3 linked regions of the Daphnia pulex genome follow. The protein of the gene in region 1 binds, or shares a complex with, the protein of each later gene. Links are inferred from orthologs where the notes say so. Each region holds a gene or a part of one and is shown on either strand. Other genes may lie near its edges.

What was found. The genes of interacting proteins can lie anywhere in the genome.
Region 2: nuclear pore complex protein Nup98-Nup96-like (region 1) and nuclear pore complex protein Nup54-like share a complex: the UniProt entries of both Drosophila melanogaster proteins name them as parts of the nuclear pore complex. The link is inferred for Daphnia pulex from reciprocal best matches to the Drosophila melanogaster genes Nup98-96 and Nup54.
Region 3: nuclear pore complex protein Nup98-Nup96-like (region 1) and nuclear pore complex protein Nup160-like share a complex: the UniProt entries of both Drosophila melanogaster proteins name them as parts of the nuclear pore complex. The link is inferred for Daphnia pulex from reciprocal best matches to the Drosophila melanogaster genes Nup98-96 and Nup160.

What each region holds. Positions count from the first base shown.
Region 1 is NC_060021.1:8,258,325-8,264,424, reverse strand, and holds the start of nuclear pore complex protein Nup98-Nup96-like, read right to left. Parts: upstream 3,456-6,100; 5' UTR 3,299-3,455; exon of another isoform or gene 3,286-3,298; intron 3,195-3,285; 5' UTR 3,154-3,194; coding exon 3,102-3,153; intron 2,964-3,101; coding exon 2,721-2,963; intron 2,611-2,720; coding exon 2,216-2,610; intron 2,151-2,215; coding exon 1,907-2,150; intron 1,853-1,906; coding exon 1,557-1,852; intron 1,474-1,556; coding exon 1,257-1,473; intron 1,184-1,256; coding exon 755-1,183; intron 689-754; coding exon 1-688. Other genes in the region: condensin-2 complex subunit H2-like, read left to right, coding at 3,907-4,229, 4,299-4,690, 4,751-4,992, 5,089-5,201, 5,263-5,465, 5,533-5,652, 5,738-5,868, 5,938-6,100. UniProt on the Drosophila melanogaster protein: Part of the nuclear pore complex (NPC). Required for MAD import as part of the Nup107-160 complex and required for nuclear export of Moe probably via its association with Rae1. Plays a role in nuclear mRNA export.
Region 2 is NC_060022.1:6,651,873-6,657,972, forward strand, and holds nuclear pore complex protein Nup54-like, read right to left. Parts: upstream 3,568-6,100; 5' UTR 3,397-3,567; coding exon 3,339-3,396; intron 3,031-3,338; coding exon 2,599-3,030; intron 2,541-2,598; coding exon 2,268-2,540; intron 2,190-2,267; coding exon 2,039-2,189; intron 1,979-2,038; coding exon 1,546-1,978; intron 1,476-1,545; coding exon 1,212-1,475; intron 1,145-1,211; coding exon 1,028-1,144; intron 955-1,027; coding exon 856-954; 3' UTR 457-855; downstream 1-456. Other genes in the region: toll-like receptor Tollo, read left to right, coding at 1-456. UniProt on the Drosophila melanogaster protein: Component of the nuclear pore complex (NPC), a complex required for the trafficking across the nuclear envelope. Essential for the nuclear import of nuclear localization signal (NLS)-containing proteins in an importin alpha/importin beta-dependent manner.
Region 3 is NC_060017.1:6,358,668-6,364,767, forward strand, and holds the start of nuclear pore complex protein Nup160-like, read right to left. Parts: upstream 4,166-6,100; 5' UTR 4,043-4,165; coding exon 3,931-4,042; intron 3,826-3,930; coding exon 3,714-3,825; intron 3,642-3,713; coding exon 2,132-3,641; intron 2,074-2,131; coding exon 1,727-2,073; intron 1,668-1,726; coding exon 1,414-1,667; intron 1,345-1,413; coding exon 1,092-1,344; intron 1,025-1,091; coding exon 667-1,024; intron 605-666; coding exon 335-604; intron 268-334; coding exon 1-267. Other genes in the region: glycogen debranching enzyme-like, read right to left, coding at 4,561-4,620, 4,693-5,115, 5,186-5,761, 5,842-6,100. UniProt on the Drosophila melanogaster protein: Functions as a component of the nuclear pore complex (NPC). Involved in poly(A)+ RNA transport. Required for nuclear import of Mad. May play a role in double strand break DNA repair. Essential for nephrocyte development.

The DNA.
Region 1 (6,100 bases):
GTAATAATACACTTCCCATTTTCATCCAATCCTTTGATTGCCAAGTCTTCCATGGTCGGCATTGTCGAATATCCGCAACGACGTAAAACTATGCCAGCAGGGTGAGGAGGCACGATTTCTTCTTCGACTGTTTCACTGATTTCCTCTGCAACAGTGACTTCCCCTTCTCCAAGGCCAGTTTCATCCAGCATACTACTGCGTTCTAGCATCGCTGATTGGTTAAGGAACGCAACAGTTGGTCTACGTATCTTCAACACAGTCAAACTATCATCAAGTTCTTCTCGGACTCTAAGATCTGGTCGAGAGTCTAGGACAACAGGTCTTTCTTCAGAAGGTGTGATTAACGGTGCTGATTTGATGGGTTCAGCATCATCGTCCGGCTTATTATCAGTATCGACGGTAGTGTCGAGGGAAATGGCTTTCAGTTGAAGTTTCTTGACACTTCGTCGAGGTACGAAGAAATCTGTTTTCGCTTCCGATCCAGCTCCGTTCTCCTCACCTTCTTCTTCGTCGCTCAATCCTTCAAAAATCGAACGTCTTCCACCACCAGTCGAGGATCCGTTAAGCAAAGCTTTCGTGCGGATTTTATTCGAGGGAAGGGGTGAGATACGGTATTGAGGAGGAGTTGGTGCAGCCCCGTTGGACAAACTGGTACGGGCGCTTGATTTGATCAATTCTTCTGTTTTTCCTGAAAACGCAATGAAACAATTAATGAATGAAATGCGTTCAACTGTGTTCATTCGAAGTGGCTTACCTGACGGTTCCAGCATTTTCCGGAAGAGAGGATGATCACTAGACTGAGAAATCTCACTTAGCGTCAAGATATACTGATGAATAGGCAACTGGGAACTGCTAGTTCCAGTAGTAGGCTGCGTCGTTCCGAAAGACATTGAAGTTGAGGGTGCTCCAATACTTGTGTTCCCAAAGAGTGAACCGGGAGCGCCAGTACCCATCCCACCAGTAGCTGTTCCAAAGCTAGGTGTAGTGCCAAAGCCAGAACTTCCAAAGGGAGTACCGCCAAATGGACTGGGCTTTGCATTTGCAGCCGATGCCCCGCCGAACATTGTATTTTGACCGAATCCTAGAGTCGACGGAGTTGATGTCACCGCACCAAATGTTTGCCCGGCTGGTTTGACTCCAAAAGCCGTTTGTCCAGGTGTGAACAACCCAGTTCCAGTAGTACCTATAAAAAATACAGTCGAAATTTTTTTTGGTGCAAACACAAACAAACAACAAAAACAATTTCCTGATCTAACCTGATGTACCAAATCCACCGAACGCTGGCGTCGTTGTTTGAGCGGGAGTAGTTCCAAATGCAGGGGTAGGTGTCGCTCCAAAACCAGTTATTGGTTTCGCACCGAAGATGTTGGATCCAGCGGACTGAGTGGTTGTCGTTTGAGGAAAACCAAAACCTGCTGTTGAAGTCTGAACTCCCATTGCTGGCTTTGGAGTGTTGAAAAAGCTTTGACTGGTCTGCAATAATCAGAAATAAAAAGAAAACGATAAGTAGGAAACAATCTCAAATAAAAAGGAATAAATAAAAATATTATCATTACCTGTTGTGGGGCACCAAATCCAAATGCGGGAGCGGGTGTTTGTGTCCCGAAAGCAGGAGTGGGTTGGCTCGTAGATTGGGGACCGAAAATCGATGAGCCAAAAGGTTTATTTTGTTGTTGCTGACCGAAGAGACTGGGTTGCTGCTGTTGTTGCTGTTGAGGTGCAGGCGTCCCGAAACCAAATGATGATTGAGTGGAAGTAGCAGGTTGACCAAACCCCATGGGTTTTGCTCCAAAGGCCGAAGGTTGAGCTTGTTGCTGTTGAGGCTGTCCAAATAAGCTCGGCTGTCCCATAGCTAAATACATACGAATTATCTCTTTTGTTCATCATACACAAGAAAAATACTTACTGGGTGCTGGTGTTCCGAAAAGGGGCGTCTGTTGAGTTTGTCCAAATAACGGAGTTGATTGGGTAGTCGTAGTGGTCCCACCAAATAATCCTCCAGTTTGTGGTGCGGTTCCCGGGGTCGGTCCTTTCCGTCCTACAGAGTAGTCTTCAAATCTAAGTTCTTCCAAAGATTTATTGTCATATTCTTTCATGCATGTTATACACTGATGGTGTGTGTTTATTGTCGTTTGGACATTGTTTTTCATCTAAAGACCACAAAATGAAAATTATAATTCATAGAGAAAAATATGTGTATGAATAAATATTATACCATAGAGTCTGTCCCTGTTAGAGGACTGAATTTTACTGGGGTACCAGTAATGGCTCCACCAGTACCACCAAATCCCCCAATTGTGTTACCAAAAGATGATGTCCCAAACAAACCAGTACCCGTTGACGGCGTTGCTTGTGCTGTGGGCTGTCCAAAAAGTGAGGTGGTTTGAGTGGGCTGGGATTGGGGTTGTCCAAACAAGCTACTGGAGGTACTAGTTGCTCCAAAGCCAAATGTAGGTTTAGCTTGAGCTCCAAATCCTGTATTGGTGGCTGCTCCAAACATGCCAGTTGTACCAGTTGAAGGGGCAGTTTGTTGGGTATTAGATCCAAACATACCAGTTGAAGCAGCAGGGGCTCCAAATAAGCTCCCCCCTGAAGTCCCACCACCAAATCCTTTTGTTACAAAACCAACAACATGATTAAGTGCTCTTTGATTGCAAATTAATGAAGTTCATCAAAGATATCTACTGTTTGATGAAATGTAACTATAAAACATAAAATACCTCCAAAGCCAGTATTAGTTGCAGGTGCTCCAAATCCTGCTGTAGGTTGTGCTGCTCCAAAAGTGGCAGTAGGTGTACCAAACAAACCTCCCGAGGGTTGGCTTGTTGTAGTACCTGTGCTTCCAAACATCGAGGTATTTGATCCAAAACCTGTAGATTGGAAAGTTGGTGCAGCCGTTCCAGTTGGCTTTGCCCCAAACGAAGACTGCCCAAATCCTGTTGATGTATTTGTACCGAAACCGCCTAAATGCAACAAACAATGGAGGGCAAACAAAAAATGTTGAAATTTAAATGGTGACGTAATGACAAGATAAGATACATTTGTAAACATGAAATATGCTTATGCAATGGTAAAGAATAATAATTGTCTGGATGCATTACCAAAAGTATTTGATGTTGGGGCTCCAAAAGTGGGTCTATTTTGTCCAAACATTTTTAAAGATGTATCATTGAAGAAGCCGGCACACTCCGCAGCTAAGTAAAAAAGAAAATGTCAAAAATGTCTCCCAATATTTATGGAGTACGAAATGCAACACCACAGAAGTCTTAATCTCGGAGAACTCACAATTTGAACTTACAATGGCTAGCGGTCGTCACACAAGTTTTTAGAACACAACAGTAATCTCAGCACGCGGGAGTCGTATGAACTTGCTGACAATTCAATGAAACGTTGAAAAGGCAAGACGGTGCTCATACGAATTACGAAAGGCAAAAAGCAGTTGCGGCGCACAAGAATGAGAATAGAAAGAAGGCCGTTTGACTGCGTCTTCCAGCGGTTAGTATTCATTAACTTGCATTTAGCAATTCAATATGTTTACACTATGATGACACGAAATTTAAGAGGTGTAAAATATTTTAATTAGAATTTGATTGTTGCAAAATTAAAGAGTTTTGGTTAGTTTTCGCAAAAATCTAAACACTGAGAGTCATTATAGGTGGCGCTACGTACATGGCCACCAAAGTTTGACCCTTGATTTAGTTGCATAGTGGGCCTTGTACTTCAGAACTAAACGCAACACTTACGTTTACTCCAAAATTCAATTTTTGAATTGTTGTGTTTTCTTGTTTGTTCAGGCAAAGTGGCTGACAGTTTATTTTTCAATATGAAAAATGTTCTTCTTTTTCTGAAATAGTTAAAGATTCGAGATATTTTTTGTTGTAATAAGTTTCGCAGTCGTGTTAAACAATGGGCCCTGGTCTTGCGAATTCGAGTGGGAGTTCTGTTGAAGAAGATGATGTTTTCAGTTCTCAATTTGCTGCTCTTCTTAAGCCAATTCGAGAGCTTACTAAACAAGGATGTTGGGAGCTGAATATAGCTGATAAATTGGAGGAATATGTCCAGTATATTCAAGATTTGCGGATTGAAGTTAATGTAAACGGGGAGCAAATGAAGCTAGATTTTGCTAAGGCTGCTATGGTTGTACAGAATAGTGCACAAATCTATAGCAAGAAAGTTGAGCAGCTCTGGCTTCTTCTCCAAGAAGTGATTGAGTTTTTAAGTTCGAATGGGTAACTAAAATCATGTACTGTACAATGTTTTACTTTCTAATAAAACACATTTCTCTCTACTCTCTATAGGAATGGTAATGAAAATGATGAAAATCAAACACCTGGCTCCAAGATAAGAAGAAATCACCGAAAAAAACATCACAAAGGAGATGTAGATCTTATCACAGAACCAATTCCACTGAAGTTTAGAAAGTTTGGCTCAAAATTAAAGAGAAAAGCTACAGCCAAAGACACAAAAAAGATCCAAACTTTACCGTATGAAATCTTGCAACTAGAAGAAGTTATAGGAAGCTTAAATTCTGTTAAAATTAAACTCTACACACTTTCAAACGAGCATTTGGGTTACCCCTCTGATCTAAGATCTAATTTCCCCTTTGACCCTTACACTTTGTTTTTGCAAATCCATCACGCAAACGGATTTAAAGTACATCCCGAGAGAGATGTCCTTAACGAAAACCAAGGTAAAATGAAAAATGTGGATATTTTTTTCCGTTTATTAATTTATTTTATTTTTAACGAAGAAGCTGAACATTCCGTCGCAGATTTGGTGCCAACCGAACCAGTTCCTATAACGTCTATGCACCAAGATGATCTAGAAGTCGAACCTCCTAACTTGGATGATTGGCAAAATGACGGAGAAATGGCCTCAGAAAACGAAATCATTCCAGATGACCTCGAAGAAAACGGGAACTCCAACGGTTTAACCGAAGAAGTTGTTGAGAGAATGCAACTACGCCAGAGAGCTCCGGCTCCAATTTCTGTGGTACTCATTAATTCTGTTTTTTTTTTTTTATTAGAACGAATGTGTAATATTTTTTTAGATAAATTTTTTATTACATTATTGATCATCTTTTTACAGGAGAATCAAGTAAAAGAAAAAGATCCTTGGGGTGGTATGGATCCCTATTCCGAAAGTGACGCTTTAAAGAAACCTTGTGGAGCTCCGGTTCGATGCAAGATGCCTGTTGCCTTGTAAGTTCCGATTTTCGGTCAAACTGCTTTATTACGTCATTTATCAAACAATCGCTTACAGGAGAAAACGGAAAGGGGTGGGGAAGGTTCCCATAAATGAAGAAATTTGCGTTGAAATAGACGAATTTCTAGGGAAAAGTCAAATCGTTAAAAAGCCTGCCTTAAAATATTCCCAGCCTGATACCGAATTCTGGGAAGATTACGTACACTTTACGAAAACAACTGGGACCGTCATTAAAAAACAACAAAAACTTCGGCCTGAAAGTCAGTATATTTTGAATAATTCGCAAAAGAATGTGGAGTAATGTGTCCTTTACTCCTATCAATAAAGAAAATATCGCGGAAGGGATCGAAGAAATGGACCAACAGGACATCAATAACGAAGACGATGACCATTTCCACAAAGATACCCCAGAGTTTGAAAATAGTTTTGACAATTCTGGTGGTCTTGGTAATAATTCTTAGTTCTCCAACTTAATCTCTCAAATTGAGATACTCACTCATCAGCCCCCTCCCCCTCTCTTTTTTTTTTTCAGATGATTCATATGACGGTTTTCATCCAGAACTTGTTGGGGATCCGGTAGAACCCACAAAAGAAATGGATGAATCAAAACAGTTTTTTGAACTTGTTCAGCAGTTTATGGCAGAGTATACTGCTTCCGCCAAAGTACATACGATCCATTTACTTCTGATGAAACATTTATAATGAAATCGGTCGCATATATTTTTCTTTCAGGAATTTGTAACGTCGACTGAATCGACCCGCCGAGTTCAGGCGTGGCATGATATGATTCAACCGAGACTTCGTGAGGCCGAAACGCGTCGTGATTTTGATATTCACCTTTATGGAAGTCGCATTATAGAGGAATTCGGGTCTGATGCGCCTATAGGAAGCCAAT
Region 2 (6,100 bases), on another chromosome or scaffold:
GTAAAGCAAGCACTTTGCCGCTTTGATAACTTAAAGCGGACTGAAAATCCACAAGGGAAAATCGTTAACAGGAAATTTATACTTGAAAACGCAAATAACACAAACTGTCGCCAACAAATGGCAGCACAATCCATTCTCCAAATGAATTTCAATGACTGTGAGGAAGAAACTGGTTTTCCGTATTCTGGACAACCAGATATTGCGACGCCAAGCAGTAAAACTGATGGCGAATCAGTGACGGAGGAAATTTTCAAACCTAGAACTGATGATGAAGAGGCGCATTCCTACACCATATATATAGTTTTGGGTGTCCTATTAATCCTTTTTATTGTGCTGGTTGTTTTGGCTTTTTATTTTTTTAAAAAGCGTAAAAGTCAAACTGTTAAAGTTCCTGACTGTAGTACCACGACTAAACAAAGTTTTGACAACCCACAATCCATTCAAAGTGAAGTGTAGGGGACACGACCGTGAACTAAACCATCGAAATTGCCTATCTCGTAAATTTCCATTTCGAGAAATAATTAGTATACTATCGGACAGCAATATTTTGTCACGATTATTTGCTGTTTACGTAAAAGTTTAACTTCTTTGTATTGTAATCGCGGTTTGTATTACCCAATGTGTAATGTAATGAACTATTGATTGTAACACGCTATATTATCTAATAAACGAGTACGAGTACGAGAAATTGGCTAATATTCTTACGAAAGTAAAAAATCAAATACGATCTACTAATTTTCAATTATGATATGAATCTAAAGATTTTTTTTTAATGAAATTTTTTTTCCGTGTATTAGACCCTTGAAAACAGTAAAATTCGTACTTAGTTGATGAAGAATATTTTCGGTCGCTATTTTAGTGTTTCAAAGCATTATCTAAAACAAGCAAATCATTAAAATCTTCTTTCAATACATTCATTAACTGAGCCATTCCTTCTTGCTGTGACTTAAGGACCTATAGGAACGAGATCATTCAAAATGAGACAAAGCTAACAAATTAACTTTAAAAATTGTGACAACTTCCTTACTTGTTTCAGATCATCCAAAACATTTGGTTCAATGTTGTACCTCTCAGTCATTCGTTCCGCTGGCGTAAAGGCAGATTGGCGCATTCTTATTTGCGAAAGCAATTCGTTTAAGCGACCCTGATGTTGACAGTGTAAAACATTATTCTATAAACTTAACATTTAATTAGAAAAATATATATGTTACTCGAAATTGCGTAGGGATGCTTAGTTCATTGTGCACAGACTCTAGCTGCACCCGCAAACGTTCCTCTTCTGGCTGTAGAGCAAAACCTTCTTTCCGAGAACATTCTTGCTTTATAAGAACTTTGAGGATTCGATGTTGCAAGTCGATGTATCGTCGTCGCTGTTCACTTAGCGCAACCGATGTTTCTGATGCACGAGATTGCAGGCTTGCTAATTCCTCAGCTAACTTGTCCAGGGTTCCTTGGTGTCGTCGAGTCTCTTTCTCCTGCAATGATTTATTTTTTTCAACTCAACTATTTGCGTAGTGTGAATAAGTTAAATATAGAAATGCGAACCTGTAGGTGTAAATGACGAACAAGGTCACCAAATCCGATCAGTGGTATGGGTATGAAGTTATCGTGATCAGGATTTTCTGATTGAGCTTGTTTCCAAATGCGAGCGTCAATCCCAGCTGGAGGCGATGCTAGATATTCGCGCAATTGTTCGGGTGATGGTCGGACTCTAGGAACACACGAAACGACTCCAAGTGCGCTGAGCTGACCACGAGCCGACTGCATCATCCCAGATGGTTGTTGATTCCAAAGGAAGTTAGACAATTCAATGGCAGGCACTTTATGAATTGCGCCAGTTGCTGAGCGTTCTTGAACACAAATCAAAACCTCTGTCTTATTTGTGTCTAGGCCAGACACGCCCTCGACGGACACATTCAGATTGGGTTTATTGCCCAGCGCCGTAGTTATCACACTGACTAACTGAGCTTGGTCTCGCCTGCAAATTGAATCCATAAATAAATCTATATGCAATTACGGTTTTTATAATTTTATCTACCGAATATCTGTTTCGGGTTTGTTAAACAGCAAAACAATTATTCCATCTTCATTCTTTCCTTGTGGTAGTTTGCTGTAGCCAATGGCTTTAAAGCGACACAATGAATTCTCTGCAGTATATTGGATAGCACTAGCCGTGCCAGAGTAAAATCCTAGACACCAATAACAATGTGAGTAAAATGAAGACATTCTAATATTTAAATTGAACCGCAATTAAGGTGGAGTCAAACCTTTTCCGGTTCCCCAAGCTGCTTGAAGGAGATTCCAACGAGCCAAGATTGCATCGCGCTCATCACCGTAAATGTTACAGTAAAGTACGGATGAGAGAACAGATTCGACAACAGTACCGGCTTGCTGAGCAGGAGCAAACGTTTGTTGTTGTTGTTGACCAAACAGGCCTGTTGTTGGGGCTGTACTTCCAAATGTAGTTCCCAAAGAAAAGCTACTAGAAGCTGGTGTTGTTATCCCGGTTCCTCCCAGAGATGTTCCAAAAGATCCAAATCCTAATACAGAAAAGTAGTCAAATAATTCGTTCCAAGTCATTCCATAAAAAAATATTACCTGTTCCAGAAAAAAGTCCGGACGACGATGAGACAGCAGGGGCTCCAGTGCCAAAACCGAATCCAGCGTTGCTTGTCTGTGGCTGCCCAAAGCTGAATGATGGAGCTCCACCAGTATTAGTTCCACCGAATCCGAAAGCAGGTGTAGTGGTATTTGTTTGTGTTGCACCAAATCCAAACGATGGAGCAGCTGTGCTAGTTTGGGTGGTACCAAATCCAAACGCTGGAGCACCTGAAGTAGGTTGGGTACTGCCAAAACCAAAAGAAGGTACTGTTGCAGTGGTGTTAGTTTGTTGAGAGCCAAATCCTGATGTTGAAGCAGAATTTTGAGGAGTTCCAAATGAAAAGGACTGATTTGCTGTGCTAACTTGCTGCACACCAAAGCCTCCAAATGGAGTAGTACCAGTCTGACCAGTACCTCCAAACAGCCCTCCTAGAAGTGAAAATGAGTCAAATGCATTGCAACACATAAGTTTAATTCTATAAAATTTTATTTGTTATCTCCTATTTCTATGATAAAATAATGAACAATTCTCAATCAGTGTTGTGCTTGAACAAAAATGATTGCAGCATTTGGTTGGACTAGAAAATGTAATCTCAAGAAAAACTAATAAACAGAAAATAAATGAAAAAGCCATGCATTGTAGCATGTTCAACAACGAAGGCAAAATGATTTCACTTAGATAATTATCATTCAAATATATAGTAATGCTGGAGTTGACACTAGTTTGTGTGTATTACCTGTGTTGGATGTAGTAGACTGGGCTGGTTGGAAAAGACTTCCACTAGAAAATGCCATTTCAAGAATAAGTTATCCTTACTTTCTTGTATAAATCTTATTTGGTATCTGTCTAATTGGTAAAAAAGTCGACAAGCCGATTTTCAATGATATCGTTAGCGTTCACGTTCAAAACTTGAAACTACATTTTTTCTGTGGAAGTAGCGAGAAGAAAGGAGGTATATGCCATCTAGCGGTTAACGATGAAGAACCAATCCTTTAACTTTGGCGGAAGACAGAAAAGCGAAAGTCCACCGCAAATATTTCTATTCCGTTCAACCGAAGAAATTTAAATCAACCTCGTCATTCCCGAAGGTCGTCCATTCTCTCCCCTTTTACACGCAAAAAATTAACACAAGAAATTGATCAGAAAACAAGTTTATTAATGATGATTTAACCAAGACAATTTGCATTACATTCCAATCAATTATTCCAATTTAAGAATGAGTGACGGTTGACAAACGAAATTAAACTGGACGGCAGGTCGTCGAATGGGATTCCATGACGGCTCACGACTTGGGCAGCTAAACATGTGAGGGGCCGCACTTTATGAATCAGTCTTTGAAGGGGGCCGTTCACATATGACGTCACGGGCCGAGGGGGGGGAGGGGGGTGCACCTTGTATGACGAATTGTGACGAGGGGGGGTAGGGGGGGTATTCACAGTGGGACGTCACAAGGCACTACACAAGCGCCACCAAGTGGGATATGTTGGCAACTTCCTAAATTTCTTTTAGTTTTTTGGATCGTTAGAGCAAAGCACCTCGTTTGCTTGACCAATTAAGAAAATAATGAACAACATTGTGTTCTGTATTAAAAACTACAGAAAATACAGAAAATAAAGAATTTTTAGGGGCTCAAACAATTTTTAAAAAGGGAGGGGGGTATCTGACTTTGTGACGTCATATTAGAGGGGGGGTATACCTACTGTGATGAATTGTGACAAAGGGGGGAGGGGGGGGGGTGTAAAATCGTCAAAAAGTCCGTGACGTCATATGTGAACGGCCCCAAGGTAAACATTTGAGATCCCGTTTTCAGCCAGTTCTTTTTCCTTTAGTTTAAAGAGGTCCAAAGGTGTTATGCCCACATCATCGGGCTGGTCGATATGAGCATCCGAGTCCAACAACTGTAACTGGATGGCGTCTATGGTGTTGATCGACCAGCGCTCCCATTCAATACTGGCCAGCACGTGAAGGGCCGTCATTCCGTTGGACGAGGTGGCACTTGGGTCGACTCCGAGTTCCAGTAACAATTTCATGACGTTTAGGGGAAAGAGTTTCGTTATAATTGTGTAGGAGCAGCAGGCAAGATGGAGGAGATTGCCCTTTTCGACTATTTTAAATCTGTAGTCGTCTCCAATGAAATTGTAGAGAGTCCGCTTGAATCGGTGAAGTTCTTGTTCATTCAGTGTTGGAAGGAGTTCAGTCAAAATGTCGATCTGGTCGATAATCAACCATTCGACTCCACCAGTCCATTCGTTTCCGATATAGTAGTCCAGCTTCACATGATGTTCCAAGGAATATTCCATTACGGTCATAATATTGGCGAAGGTGAACTCTTCTCTGTCGGAGCTCGGCAGGTCCATGAGCTCGATGAAACTTCCAACCATGATTTTAATTACTTTGGTGATCATACTGTTGACAAATGGATCGTCCCATTCTTTTTCGAGTCCTTGGAACTGACCCATCATGTACATGCCGATGCTGATGGCTCGATTGAACTGCCTTTCATGGTGGAATGCACCGGCGTATTCGCACATGTGGGCGAGGATATATTTATGTTGCTCAGGATCGGATTGATGCAGCATCCTCTGACTGACTAACAAGGCCTGAGTGTCGAGATTCATTTCAGGGACGACAAAGTTAAGCTGTGCTTCCAGTTGGTCGAGGTGTTCCAGAGTCGTGAATTCGGAAGTGAAGCCCATCGCCTTGGCAAAAAGATACGAGGACTGAGGGGGAATTACTTTGGGGATCACCGGTTCTCCATCGACGGTCGAATGACGAAGTCTCATGGCTTCTTTCCAGATGAAAATGGCGTACTTCGAGGAATCCCTGTTGTAGAAAACGTAGGCGGCTCCCATCAATTCCAGCACTTCGATTTTATCCTCTCGACTGATCGAACTCGACTTGATTCCCTCCATGTCGGCGATGACCTTATCCAACTGTCCGTGTTGGATGGTGATAAACTGAGATATTATGCCCAGCTGGCGACTTATGATGGCTGCGCACAAAGGTGAGACATTGCAATACTTTGTTCCATTCCACTCAAATGTCCCGTGACATCCCGTAACATCGACTCCGAAATTGGCTATCAGAAATGCGACGACTTTATAACACTCGTGCCGAATTGCGGTCATCATCATGGGGGAAGTTCCATGCTCGTCGACTGACGTGGCTAGTACTTTTGTGATTTCTGGTCCTTGAGTGGCAAGTATTTCCTCCAATTCAGTTATCGATTCCGATATCACTGCTGCAAGAAAGATGAATTGCAAAACTCTCCAATCATCATCTGATGTGTCCATTTTGATTTTCAAGTAGGTTTCGAACTAGTTCGAAAAAGTTCTGTTGAAACATTTGTAAAGGTTTAATACTTTCACAAATATTTAGGAACTCTACACTTCTAATAATTAAAAGTGAAATGCCAGTAGGCGATTTCCCACATGTAGAATAGTGTATTATTGGTTTTTAAGGAAGTGTGAACATACCCAAATGACAACGGAAGAAGAG
Region 3 (6,100 bases), on another chromosome or scaffold:
CGCTACCACGTCCGAAGGAGAAAGAGATGTGATTGACTGTCCAAGATTGATACAAGCGTAGCTGAGTTCATATTCTTTTTCAATATCAGCATACTCGATGACGTCAACCGTATGTCTAAACGGTTCTGATGAATCCTTACGATTCAACGTAGTTACTGGTTTAACCAACCAGGCTTCCTGTCTAGAGACTAGGCGCAGGGCGTTGAGACAAGCCAAAAGACATTTGACCATTTTGGCTGACTCTCCTTCACATCCATATCGAAGTGCCTTTAATGAAACAAATTACATCAGTAACGGTGATCCAAGGCCTAAAGTGGTTGATAGTACACATTACCTGTTCGTGCATCACAGCGGCAGCTTTGCGCATTTTACCCTGGCGGACGTGAAATGCATAGAGAAAGGAGTAATAAAGCGTCATAGATAGAACATCTGATGAGCGAGCCCTTCTCTCCACAATTTTTTCCAATTCTGATTCCAATCCGGCGTAAGGGAAAGTTAAAAGAATATCCATCTGCTTGCGTTCCAGCAAAATATTGACCAGACGTCCAAGAGTTTCAGGTCGCTGACTGCTATCCGGATTATTTACGATGGCTTCGTATGCTTCCTATTAGCAGTGAATGGATACGTAAGGGCGTGAAATCTGATAAAATGCGTTTGATTTATTACCTGATAGTGGCCCAAGTTCAAATGAAGCTTGGCAACAATCGACCATATTGTAGGCAAAAGGGGGTCGTCCGTTTTACTACTGTTTAGGGCTACAAGAGCCACACGAAGAGCAGCACTGCATAGTCCCGCCTGCTCTAACAATTGGACGCATATGAGATGAAAGCGCATCACCGGATCAGCACGACTTCCAGCGTCACCACTTTCATTCGCTCCCTTTGTGACAATCGAGTGAAGAAGTTGTTCTTTGATGATTCCTTCAGCAGCTTCAAGCATCCACTTACTGGCTTTATCTCCTTCACCGGTAGCCACAAGTGCGACAGCCATCAGAAATTTTCGAGAGCACGTATTCCATTCACACCTGGGCGGAATTTGCATTTAAAAAAATCAATAAACGCATCTAATATTGAAGTACAATATTTACAAACCAGTTCTGTTGCAGGCGGACGTATCCCTGTACGGCCAAGGGTTGGAAGCGTTCCATCAGAAATTCCATGAAAGTCATGTGATTTCCAATGGGCCAAAGCAGCTGGCCAATGGCTTTCATAAAGTGTGGGAAAACATCTAACCAAGAGGACGTCCATTCAGCAGCATCTTCTTCCTGCAGGACCATTTCTCGTACAGCTTGACCTCCATCCAAGGATAGGAAGAGTTCAACCAAGCTCTTGCACGGCAAAGTCGCTATGGAATTGTTTAATCAGTATTATTTCAATTTGGAAAAATGGGAAATTTAGATGTTTTCAAACTTACCGTAAGACTCTTGAGATTTTTTGAATCCCAACAAAGCCATTGTGCGAATATTTTGTTCGGTGAGGGAATTGGAAACCGTTTGGGCCGGGAAGTGGCATAACCAAGATAAAGCATAGTAGGCGTGAGCCAGGGGGACGCTACGAGGGAGGAACTCTGAGCGAATGGTTTCGGCATCTTCGGGACGCAGCTGAAGCTTCTTCTGTGTTAATATAAGCAACTGCTGTACAATCAGTACATCTCGACACAATTCCAACCTGCGAAAGTAACATCATTTTAATTTAAAAAGGTAATGAAACATTTTCTGAATTACTACCTTAAATCAGCCATCTGTCGGGATGATTCGGCTAATGCTCCCAATCCAAGACTTCCATTGAAAAGCAAACGAAAGGAACTTTTATTATTGAAGGAAACTTCGCCAAATTTGGGATCGCCTCCATTCATGCCGACGCTGAGCTGTTGGAGAAGAACAGACAAGGCCAGGCAAATGTCAACAGAAGACAAAGCCATTTGGACAGCGTTGAGCAAATTAATTGATTCGTTCTCCAGCAGTTCATCAGCAATATCCCTGGCAATTTGATCTGCACTTTCCAACTGAAACATTGATTGATCAAAGCGCTTTATTTGCTCCGTTGACAAACTATCGCTGACCACAAACAGAATCTGTAAAAGAACAAAATTCGTCAAAATCTATGTACACAACAAATAAAAGAAATGTTACCTCGAGCAGAGCAGTAAGGCCAGAAGTTGATTGCTGACCCCCGAAAAGCGAAGCAATTCCACTCGAAAATGGCTGCATATCCCAGCGACGGCCTCGTTGCAAAACCAAACTCTCAACCAGATCCAACGGACGCAAAAATGAAACCATTCCTCGTTTAAGTAGAGCATGGAAGCCAGTTTCGTCATCAATGAGTAAACCAACAGGAATTGGCCGCTTCAAATGATACTGAACAGCATAGGCGTAGAATTGGGCCCAGTATTTGGCCGAAAGTTGCAGATAAAGTTCTTCTGTCACATCATCTGCATCGGAAATCTGCTCTTTCAGTTCAACCTCGATAGCCATAATGATGTCTTCTTTTATATCTCCAGGTCTCCTCCTACTTGTCGATGCCGAACGATCAAAAGCTTGCAGAGCCTTACTCAAGGTTGAAATCGAGAATACGCCCGGTTTGAAAAGTGCCTGCATGTACGCTTGTTTAGGGTCAACGACGGTATCGTCGTATTCAATTTCCGAATCGACGCCAGGTTCCAACGCAACCTGTTGCCACTCTAGCAGGGTCGTTTCGGCGAATTCCAACAGATATTCACCCCGCGAAGTGCTCCATAGTGCATAAAGGTGATTTGAAGTCAGGCTGAAGTCGATTAAACGACTATGTTGTGCAGTAACGGATGACTGGAAATTGAGCTTGAGTGTAGGGCCCGTCTGTAGATCAATGAGAAGAAAAGATCTATTCTTGCCAAAGGACGAGAAGACGACCAGTTTGAAGTCGACGCCGTCAGGACACCACCGGATTCTGTGAAGAGAGCCAAGCTGCTTGACTGATTTGTCTCCGAAGAATTCAACCAAATCGAACTCCAAACGACACTCCTGGGTTGCTGCTGACCAAATTCGCAATTTCAAGCCTTTGCTGACGGCCAGCACAAGAACGTCGTCATTTGTCGGCAATAAACAAATGCTTGCCGTAGTATCTTCGTTTTCCTGTGATGAGCTTCCTCTTAACACAGTAGGCAGGTAACCAGAAAGTAAACGTGATAAATTTGAGGAAGGCTGCAAATTATATGTGGTAACTGCCGAAGGAGATTGACCCATACGAATGAGAGAAATCGACGAAGTGTTTGCCAAAGCAAACAATGCTTCTTTACTTTTTCCAGAAAAGTAAGATGCAGCAGTGCTGGGGAGTGAAAAATTGGTGGCGGTGCTGTTGATGACCTGGTGGCTCAATGATTCCCTCAACCAGGGAAGGGATGCTTCAGTAAAGATGGATGGTACAGAAATGTTGGTCCCCATTGAGTTGAATGCTGTAGGATCATTGTGTTTTTTTGGATGTGGTAGAACCAAACGATGAACTGAAGATATGGTGGAGACGAGAATAACTACATTATTTTTTGTTTCATGAATGGATGTCCCCTCTAATAATGGAAGGCCTTGAAATCTGATTCGAAGACAGTTGCCGTGTAAGTTCAAGTCTAAACTGTGTTCTACTAGCTCCAGGACATCATTGGAAATTTGCCTGTTCAAAACAAATAATACAGAATGAGTCTTACTTACAGCAGCATTTAAATTATGTAAATGATAGCTGTACCAGCATATGAAACGGTTCCGAGTGACAGTTGAATTGGAATCAGTGAAACAGTATCCTCCTGCTGTGCAACCTTCAGGTAGTTTAATATCTTGGAGTGTCAAATGAGTTCCACCTGGTTAAAACAGAATACAGGTCAGTGTTTAAGAAAAGCGACACCGTTTCGGTTGAAAAAGAAAGAACTGTAGCCGGTGTAGCTCAACAAGTTCACTTGAATTACCCGTATTCAGTAATAGTTCCTTCCATTGTTCTATGCCTGTCTGATCTGGAATTACTTCACGCAATCCGAGAAGAGAAAAGCCAGAAAGATTTCCTTTAAGACAACTAGACATGTTTTTAACTCGTTTCTACAGTTGCAATCGCGCGGGCAGCTGAGAAACAAATTCGTTTCAGACGAATCTAAATTTCCAAACCGGCAAACGGCAGAACTACATTTACCGTTCAGCGCCACCTAGCGATTGAAAACCAAACTCGTTGGTACACTAATTTTATGACAAAATTTGAGTTGAGGCAAAAAGAACGAGTATATTCACTAGCAGGCATGACGCCGTGTATTGCTACAAATTACAACACTGCTTTTGGAAAGCGGCATAATAGAATTCTCCACCAAGTGAATAACAAACATAATTAAATCGACAAAAAATGTTTTTAAAATTGTGGAAGAACAACACATGCGCTGAAGTGGGAAAACGCTAATAATATAATGTACGGGTGCGGCTGAAGGTGGGAAACATAAGTTTAAACTACTCTCTTCTTCTTTTTCCCTAGTAATAGAACTGCGTATATTTCGAATTCTGAAAAGCAACTAAGGACCCCGGGGCAACAAAAGAATTCAATCACAATTCTAAGTTCACAATGCGGTGATGCTTAGTTTCTGTTTATGTTCGATATTGTCCAGTTCATGCAAAACCTGAAAAGTGACAAAATGACCAAGTTAGTACATTAAATTCAAAAATTGTAATATTTATTTTTTTTTCATCACCTCGAGAATGGTGGCCATAGACCAGGCTTGAGCTGGACTCGAATCATTACAGACTTTGCCATTTTTATTGGTAAGCTCGGGAAGTGAGCGCCAGGGCGATTGTTGAATTTCGACAAAGTGGCGCGATAAAATAGACTTGACTTTGCGGATGGTTTTTCTGAGTTCGGAGACTCCGCCGACCAATGGAGCGAAATAAAGCATGGCTTGGAGTAGGAAACCAACTGGCCAGAGCCACTCGGGTCCTTGGTGGTAGTTGAAACCGTGAGCCGTGCTGGGATCATCTCCTTCGTCCGAATTGCAATAATCTGGTCGGTAGGACCAATCAGAATTGTCCAAAGTTGCCATGCCCAATGGTCCTAACAAGTGCTGAAGAGCCATTTGTAATGCTTGCCATGCTCTCGATGGTGTAAACATGGTCGGAGCCTTTAAACGTAAACGTAATGAAACAGTTAATGTGAGAAAGATAAAAATGATAGAAATCCGTTATTCTTACCACAGCCATGGCGACCACAAAGTTAGGTCTCAATTGATAATCAGCCCAGGGTTTGGATGCCATATAAGAATCTTTGTAGATGCCTCGACGATTGATAAGCTCAGGATGGGGTTCGGCCGTTGGTTCTGGATCGACATTAATCCAGAAATGTCGCTCAAAGTTGCGATCAATTTGACGAGCCCATTCGTCGTAAGTCCAGCGAGTCTTAGTTCCGTCTTCGTTAACCCGCTCGACGCCGGCGTACGGATAAGTTCCAGCTGTAAACAATTCCCACAAATATCCAACGACGGAGCGAGAAAGGCCAACGATCTCAACAGCAGAACCGTCACGAGGAGTTGCTGGTTCTCCCTTGTTACCGGCCTTAGCGCTTGATCCCATCTTGTCCATCCAAGTTCCGCAATTATGGGCGTTGCCACCGAAAACAAATCCAGTTTCGACGCTGACGCCGACCTTATTGTTGAAGCCTGCATCCAACATTTCGCGATCGATGGCGAATCCAGCATTACGTTCGCGGAATTCTACACCCTGGAAATGGCGTTGAAGGGCTTCTTGCATCACGTCGCACAGCGGCTGATTCTGTTGTTAATTAATTAAAAAAGAAATTATATAATTTCATGAATTGTTAATACTACTAGTGATTTAATATCAAATCATACTTTGGCTCCAGCTGGCAACGGAGGCGATTCATCATCAGGGAAGAGACGGGTAACGGCGTCGTCCAAGATCGTGTGACCCCTGGGAGCCAGACGGCAATAATCGCAAATGGATTGCAACCACCACCAAATCGCGTCACGGCAATTGAAACGAGCTTTGGAACCGCCATCCAACAGGTTTGGAATCAAACCGTGGCGGAGACAACCTCCAAATGCCAGAATGATGTAGCGTGCTTCCTGGTAACGACCAGTCAACAACAGA